2 linked regions of the Oryctolagus cuniculus genome follow. The protein of the gene in region 1 purifies or fractionates together with the protein of each later gene. This does not show direct contact. Links are inferred from orthologs where the notes say so. Each region holds a gene or a part of one and is shown on either strand. Other genes may lie near its edges. The genes, in order: TGFBRAP1 and VPS33A.

Region 1 (3,805 bases):
CCTCCTCCCCTGTCTCCCCCCATCTCACCATGTGGATTCTTTACCCAATATTCTTTGTTGCTGTTTAGTTTCTCTCTTGTGCTAAGCAAAGACAGTGGCTAGAATTTTGGTTGTGGAGGTCTGAAGCTTGTCTATTTCTACCATGAATTCATATTCCAAATGGGAGAATGGCTGTGTCCTGGCTTTTTCAAGGACTGCCATGACTGATTAAGCAATGAAGGATCAAGTTTTTTTTTTTTTTTTAAAGATTTGTTTGTTTATTTGAAAGGCAGAGTTACACACACACAGAGAGAGAAACAGAGCGAGAGGTCGTCCATCTGCTGGTTCACTCCTCAAATGGCCACAATGGCCAGAGCTGAGATGATCCAAAGCCAGGAGCTGGGAGCTTCTTCCAGATCTCCCACGCAGGTGCAGGGGCCCAAGCACTTGGGCCATTTTCCACTGCTTTCCCAGGCCATAAGCAGAGAGCTGGATGGAAAGTGGAGCAGCCAGGACACGAACTGGTACCCCTATGGGATGCTGGCCCCGCAGGCAGAGGCTTAGCCTGCTACGCCACAGTGCCGACCCCAAGTTGTTCTGACACCTATGAGAGGACAAGTGACGACGAGAGTCATTCCTCCCCTTTCTCCTGCCTGAATCTTTCTGGAGTGCCTCTGAGGTCCCCTAGCATTTGCCAGGCCGCCTCAGAGGATTAAGGAGTTGAGAGTCTCTCCGGAGGCAGCCTCATTCCCTCTGGGGCAGCTTGAAGTGCTGGAGAAAACTTTTCTGATGCAAACCCAGCCTGCTTCTCCCAGGCTTCCACCAGGCTTGGCAGCGTGGCCTAGAGCTCCCCAGGCCCCTGTGCCCCTGTGCGGGCTGTCAGGGGCTGCGCCTCTGAGCCTGCAACCCGACAAAGGCAGAAGGGCCACCCTGCTGCCTGTTCTGCTGTAGAACTGGGACCCCTTGCAAAGGAAGAAGCAGACAGCCAAGGGTCCAGCTTGTGGCACAGTGTCCCCCTTCTGCTGGAGGTCATCTGATTGCTACCAGGGACCTGCCCACAAAGCCGCTCACTTGCTACCTAAAGACACGGGAGACTGAGACACACCTGTATGACTTGACATGAGCGTGCTTACCTGGGGAGTGGAATACGGAGCTGGGGCCAGTGCGCATGCCTTCCTGGGAAGAACACAGAGGAATTCGAGGCCTCATCCTGCCTCTGTGTTTGCCAGCAGGATCCTGTGGCTGTGTCCCACCATTCGCTCAATGCAACTACAAGTAGCTGTACAAGTTCAAGGGGAAGATGGATGAGGCTCGAGCCTGCCTTTTCTGAGAGCTTTTTGTCAGGTTGCCTGGGGGTGCCTACATGTGCTTGTCCCCGGGGTGCATACATGTGCTTGTCCTGTACCCACAGGAGTGGCTCCAGGAGCAATGGGAGGCGGCTCTGCGTGAGTCTAGGCTGTGTTGGGAGTGAGCCTGCTGGCGCCAATCAGAAGCACCTGCGCACACGGGGGAGGTGGCAAGGAAAAATTTGCCTTCTGAATCGGTGCAGAATGATGTTTCATTGGCAATGGGGACTGGAGGAGCTGGGTGTCCTGATGCTTCTGCTTCCGCCTTCTCCCCGCTAACGTGAATTCTCCCCCCGTCTCTTCCTGCAGAGAGCCCGGCAGGCATGATGAGCATCAAGGCCTTCACCCTGGTGTCTGCCGTGCAGCGCGAGCTGCTGATGGGCGACAAGGAGCACATCCACATCGCGTGCGTCGAGTGCTGCGGCAAAAACCTGTACGTGGGCACCAACGACTGCCTCATTTACCACTTCCTGCTGGAGGAGAGGGCGCTGCCCGCCGGGCCGGCCACGTTCACCGCCACCAAGCAGCTGCACAGACACCTGGGCTTCAAGAAGCCCGTGAACGAGCTGCGGGCAGCCTCGGCCCTCAACAGGCTGCTGGTGCTGTGCGACAGCTGCATCACCCTGGTGCACATGCTGAGCCTGGAGCCCGTGCCCTCGGGGGCCCGCATCAAGGGGGCCGTGAGCTTCGCCCTGAACGAGAACCCCGTGAGCGGGGACCCGTTCTGCGTGGAAGTGTGCATCATCTCCGTGAAACGCCGAACCATCCAGGTGTTCCTGGTGTACGAGGACCGGGTGCAGATCGTCAAGGAGGTGTCGACCCCAGAGCAGCCCCTTGCCGTGGCTGTGGATGGCCACTTCCTGTGCCTGGCCCTCACCACGCAGTACATCATCCTGAACTACAGCACGGGGGCCTCCCAGGACCTGTTTCCCTACTGCAGCGAGGAGAAGCGGCCCATTGTCAAGAGGATAGGGACACAGGAGTTCCTGCTGGCGGGCCCGGGAGGGCTGGGTGAGGACATTGCCTTAGAGCCGCTGCCCCGCCCCCTCCCTCCTGGGTGGGGGGGTGGGGGGGTGTCCCAGGGGTGAGGCTTTAGCTGTGAAAAGGTGTCGCTCCCCCTCTTCGTGGAGGAACGACACAGGACCCTGCGCTGTTCTTTCGTCTGCTCGGCCCTCCCCGGGTTTGCTGCTGGTTCTTCCCGGGTTGGCTACTATCCCTTCCACCTCCGTGGAAGGGCAGTTCCCCCTGGCCGCATTCCCCACTTCCGCAGGGGAGCGGCACACCGCCGGCCGGCTTTCTCGGGGGCTGCACGGGTTCCCTTAGATGTTCCCCATAGATGTTCCCGGTGCATGCCGTCTCTCTCCTCCTTTATAGTCCTCCTCCGCCAATCCCAACTCGGCTGAGTACGCTGCTCTCCAATCAGGAGCAAGTCCTACAGTTAATTGGTTGAACTGGAGGCAGCTGTGCGGAAGCTGTTTACTTCTCTCCCAGCGCCATATTGTGGGAGAGCAGATGCATAGAATGAGTCTTAATTCGAGTAACAGTCTAGTCCGGTTTGCTCCCCACAGATCCCCCTTTCTTTTTATTTTTTAGCGTTGATACGCGCCTGTCTTCGGTGTCCCGCGGCACACACTCTGCTGTACTTGCTAGAGTTGCCACAGGCTCTTACAAGTCCTATCAATCAGGAAAACCGAATCCGGGTCCTCTCTTCGCCATTGTGAGGAGGTTTTTAGGCGCTGATGCGTGCCTGTGTTCGGTGCCCTGCAGCGCATGCTCTGGTCGAGCCTGCAGGGGCTTACAAGCTCTATCAGGCAAACCGAATCCAAGCCTTCTAATTGGCATGTTGAGGGGAGGCCTTATTTTTCTCTATTTCTCTATCTCCGGGCATTCCTACCTCTCCCATTTCACTTCTATCTTCCAGCATTCCCATTTCTCTTTTACTTCACTTCCAAACTTCTGTTTCTCTTATCCCTACGGCTTTCCGGCACCTCGCCCCGCCGGCGGGTTCCCGGCTCTGCGCCGCTTCAGCCCGCGCGCCTCTCTGCGCGGCTTCCCGGCTTTGCGCGGTCCGCGGTCTCCACGCTTAACCCTTTCGCGTCTGAACCACGGCCTACGCCAGCGTTCCCTATCTATTCACGCCCCGTGCTCTCTCTGCACGCGGCGGCTTCCGCGAGTAACACAGCGTAGCTTGCGTCTCCGCCACTAGGATTCAATCTAAGTTCCCCGGGCTAGCCTGGCGAATTCAACCCAGCGTACGTCTCCGCCCCACGATCTGGCTTCCCGTCCTTTGCTCCCCGGGCTAATCAGACGGATCCCAATCTGGCTTACGTCTCAGCTTCTGGTTTTAACTTTTCGCCCCCTATTCCCGGGCTAACTTGAGAATCCCAAAGTGGCTTTCGTTTCCGCCTTGGCCTGCCCCCCGCGGCTTCAATTTCCCTAACATTTTTCTCTACCCGGTATGTTTCCCTAAGTTTTCTTCC
Region 2 (3,805 bases), on another chromosome or scaffold:
CCGCTTACGGGGTCTTGAAGATTTCCTGTGGTCTCCCCCTTCTCCTCCTTATTTCTTTGTAGTTGCTGGCTACTTAGTAGTTTTGAGGATATAGCTTAGGATTTAGCAGATAGAGGTTGAGGTTGTGTCCAGCCTTTTGCCATTCCATACAGTGTTTCAGTTCCTGCGCTTTCACTCTGTCCACTGTCTTAGGGCCTACAAACACTTCTGTAGGAGAAAAGCCCAAAGTACCCTAAAAGTACAGTGCTGGGTTCAAAGGTCGTGCATGATGTTACTTGGGGAGAGTGCGCTCAGTTACCCCCAGGGAATTTCTTGTCAAGCAGAATGGCAAGTTCTCCTGTGCGGAACCTGGGGCTGACTGCCCGGCTTCGGAGTCGAAAGGGAAGCTCTGGCTGCCAAGAACCGCGCAGCTGGAGTGGAGCGAATCGGAGCAAGCACAGGGTGCGTGTGCGTGTGTGTGCGTGTGCGTGTACGTGTGTGTAGAGGGGGACAGGCTTTGTATCTCTGCCTTCAAATACAAATCAAATAATTCTGGACTGCCCAAACAGCCGCAGTTCGTAGTCTACGTCTCCGAGTCTCCGAGCTTCCGTTTGTTTCTTTAACAGAACCCTACTGATATATCCTACGTGTACAGTGGTTACGCGCCGCTCAGCGTGCGGCTGGCCCAGCTGCTGTCGCGGCCCGGCTGGCGCAGCATCGAGGAGGTCCTCCGCATCCTCCCGGGGCCCCACTTCGAGGAGCGGCAGCCCCTGCCCACAGGGCTGCAGAAGAAACGTGAGTGGCGGCCAGGTGTGGCGCGGTGGGTGTGTCGTGCAGTTGCTGCGTCACGTGCTTGGGACCAGGACCGCTCTCGTGGTCGTTAAGTGCGAGAACCACGTCACTCCCTCGGGAGCAGCAGCCCCCGCCTCTGCGTGGAGGAACCCGCAGTTAGGAAAAGCCTGGAGCTGCAGATCGGTGTGTGTGAGGTTCAAACGCAGCGTCTTCCAAGACGCATCTGCCTTTTCATCCATGTGGAGGACAAAATGGTTTTGTTTAAGATTTATTTATTTACTTTGAAAGAGTTACACAGAGAGGGAGAGACAGAGAGAGAGAGAGATCTTCCATCCACTGGTTCTCACCTCAGATAACCACAAAGGGCAGCACTGGGCCAGGCCAAAGCCGTTTGCCAGGAGCTTCATCCAGGTCTCCCCCTTGGGTGGCACAAACCCAGGCAGTAGGACCATCTTCCACTGCTTTCCCAGGTGCGTTAGCAGGGACCAGGATCAGAAGCACAGCAGCCAGGACTCAAACTGGCACCCATATGGGATGGCGGCTTCTACCCACTATGTCACAGCACCAGCCCTAGTGATAAAATGTTTTAAAAAGTGGAAAGAAGGGCCGGCGCTGTGGTGCAGCAGGTTAGCGCCCTGGCCTGAAGCGCCAACATCCCATGTGGGCGCTGCTTCGAGATCCAGCTGCTCCACTTCCAACCCAGCTCTCTGTATGGCCTGGGAAAGCAGTGGAGGATGGCCCAAGTCCTTGGGCCCCAGCACCTCCATGGGAGACCCGGAGAAAGCTCCTGGCTCCTGGCTTAGGATCAGCACAGCTCCGGCCGTTGCAGCTACTGGGGAGTGAACCATCGGATGGAAGACCTCTCTCTCTCTCTTTTTCTCTCTCCCTCTCCTCTCTCTCTGTAACTCTGACTTGCAAATAAATAAATAATCTTTTAAAAATAAATAAAAAGTGGAAAGAGAAGCACCAATAATAGTTTCTAATTCTGAAATGTTCACATTTTAGGTCAACCAGGAGAAAACCGAGTCACCCTGGTGTTCTTCCTCGGGGGTGTGACCTTCGCTGAGATCGCGGCGCTGCGGTTCCTCTCCCAGCTGGAGGATGGAGGGACGGAGTACGTCATCGCCACCACGAAGCTAATGAACGGCACCAGCTGGCTGGAGGCTCTGATGGAGAGACCGTTCTAGCGCGTGCAGGAAACCCTTTTTGAAGAAGTTGCAGAGAGGAAATGAAACCCCGTGGAAGAAAACAGGAACACAGCACTTACTTTGGGGCCAGCTTCCTCCGTTATACTACTGCGTATTCCTTCCTGCTTCTCTCTTTATATTCCTAATTTCTTGAAGAAAGAAGAATAGGAAGGAAAAGAAATAGAAGGTAAAAGAGAAATTGAGTTTGCATTTTCCCAGCTGAGGGTCTTCAGTAGAGGTGGCTGGAAATACGGGAGGGGGGTAGCGAGAGACGGCCCCTGGGCTGCAGGCAGGCTGCACGCAGGGGCCCGGGTGAAAGTGAGATTCAGAGTGGAAGGGCCACCCCAGCACACAGCGCTGTTCGGGCAAGAGCTCCTCCTGCACTGGGCAGAGTTCCCTCGGGCGGCACACTGTATGCCGTGTCGCCAGTCTCTGTCGTGTCCTTCTGAGAAAGCAAGCTGCGTGTCCGGAGGTTAAACTCAAGAACATGGTGCTGAGGGAGCAGCTTTCTGCGATGCCACCGTCCAGTGAGGCGCGATGTTGCCTCCGGAACTGGGCGTGGCAGGTGCCTCTGCTGAGCCTTCAGTCCTTCTCTGTGTCCATCCATCCTGGGCCCAGTGTCCAGCTCGTCCCTCCCTCAACAGGGATGACTCTTGCTGCTTCAGCGCCTGGCAGGTCCGTCTCCCTGGTAACCACCTCCTGCCTTTCTCCCCACATCCATTGGCTTGTAAACATCCAGCCCAGTGTTTCCGTCCCTGGTCTGGTGACCTCAGCTTCTGCTATGCGTCCCCTCCGTGACCTTGGAGTTCAGCAGCTCCTGCTCCTGCTGCAGGAGACTCTTAGGCTGTGGTTGAGAGTGGGGTTGGTGGAGTGTTGGAATCCATTGTGTGTCCCTACCTCCCTCCTGCTCCACAGCAGGGACTGGAGGAGTGAAGAGCACGGAGAAGGGGGCCACGCTGATGGCCCCTGCCCACGTCCCCAGAACCAGGTGGGCCTTTGCACATTATGCCCCTCATCAGAACCACGTGATTTCCCCTGCCTTTGCATGGGTGGAGTTCTGATGAGTGCACTACACTGCATCTGATGAGTAGGACAGAAGTTCTGTGTTTCTTAAGCTTTATTTATTGGTTTGAAATGCACAGTGACAGAGAGAAGGAACATTAGAGAAAGATCTTCCATCTGCTGGTTCGCTCCCCAAATGCCTGCAAGAGCAAGGGCTGGGCCAGGCTGAAACTAGACCATTTGGGTCTCCCACAGGGGTGGCAGGACTGCAAGTACTTGGGCCGTCACCATCTGCTGTCTCCCAGGTGCCTTAGCAGGAACCTGGATCCCAAGTGGGGATGGCACTCAGTCCCAGGCACTCTGACATGAGATGCGGGGTGACCAAAGGGGTGGCTTAACTTCATCTCAAAGCTCGCCCCATGTTGTTTTTGTTTTTTGTTTTTAATCACTTTATTATAAGAATGAAGTGTGGTGGAGGTAATATTTAAAATATGAGCTTCTCATGAAATTAATTTGGCTTTGACATTTAGTATTTGGACATGCCAAACTGTTTCTAAAATGGAAAACCATTCTTTAGGAAAGCCTATTTCCAATACTTGCTCTCCCAGGGAGATTCGTCTATGCTTCCAGCCTCAGCTGCTTTAGAGGATAAAGCCCGCCTTGTCCCTCGGTGTGTTTGGCTCGTGGGATTCAGCGCAAGTCTGCTCAGGCCTCCCTCTGTCCTGTGAACAGATGCCAGCTGCAGCCTCGTGTGTCCCCGCTCACCGGGGGCTCCGCGTGTTCGCTCAGTCAGCTCCAAAGTGCACGCGGCACAGAAGGAATGAGGCAGTTGCTTCATCTGTATG

Evidence for each region.
Region 2: the proteins of TGFBRAP1 (region 1) and VPS33A purify together in Homo sapiens (co-immunoprecipitation; 5 studies listed by BioGRID and IntAct, with this or other methods). This does not show direct contact. The link is inferred for Oryctolagus cuniculus from reciprocal best matches to the Homo sapiens genes TGFBRAP1 and VPS33A.

The regions. Positions count from the first base shown.
Region 1 is NC_091433.1:103,288,728-103,292,532, forward strand, and holds part of TGFBRAP1 (transforming growth factor-beta receptor-associated protein 1), read left to right. Parts: intron 1-1,634; 5' UTR 1,635-1,648; coding exon 1,649-2,336; intron 2,337-3,805. UniProt on the Homo sapiens protein: Plays a role in the TGF-beta/activin signaling pathway. It associates with inactive heteromeric TGF-beta and activin receptor complexes, mainly through the type II receptor, and is released upon activation of signaling.
Region 2 is NC_091452.1:6,888,789-6,892,593, forward strand, and holds part of VPS33A (vacuolar protein sorting-associated protein 33A), read left to right. Parts: intron 1-605; coding exon 606-774; intron 775-1,776; coding exon 1,777-1,958; 3' UTR 1,959-3,543; coding exon of another isoform or gene 3,544-3,798; 3' UTR 3,799-3,805. Other genes in the region: uncharacterized protein, read right to left, coding at 3,544-3,798.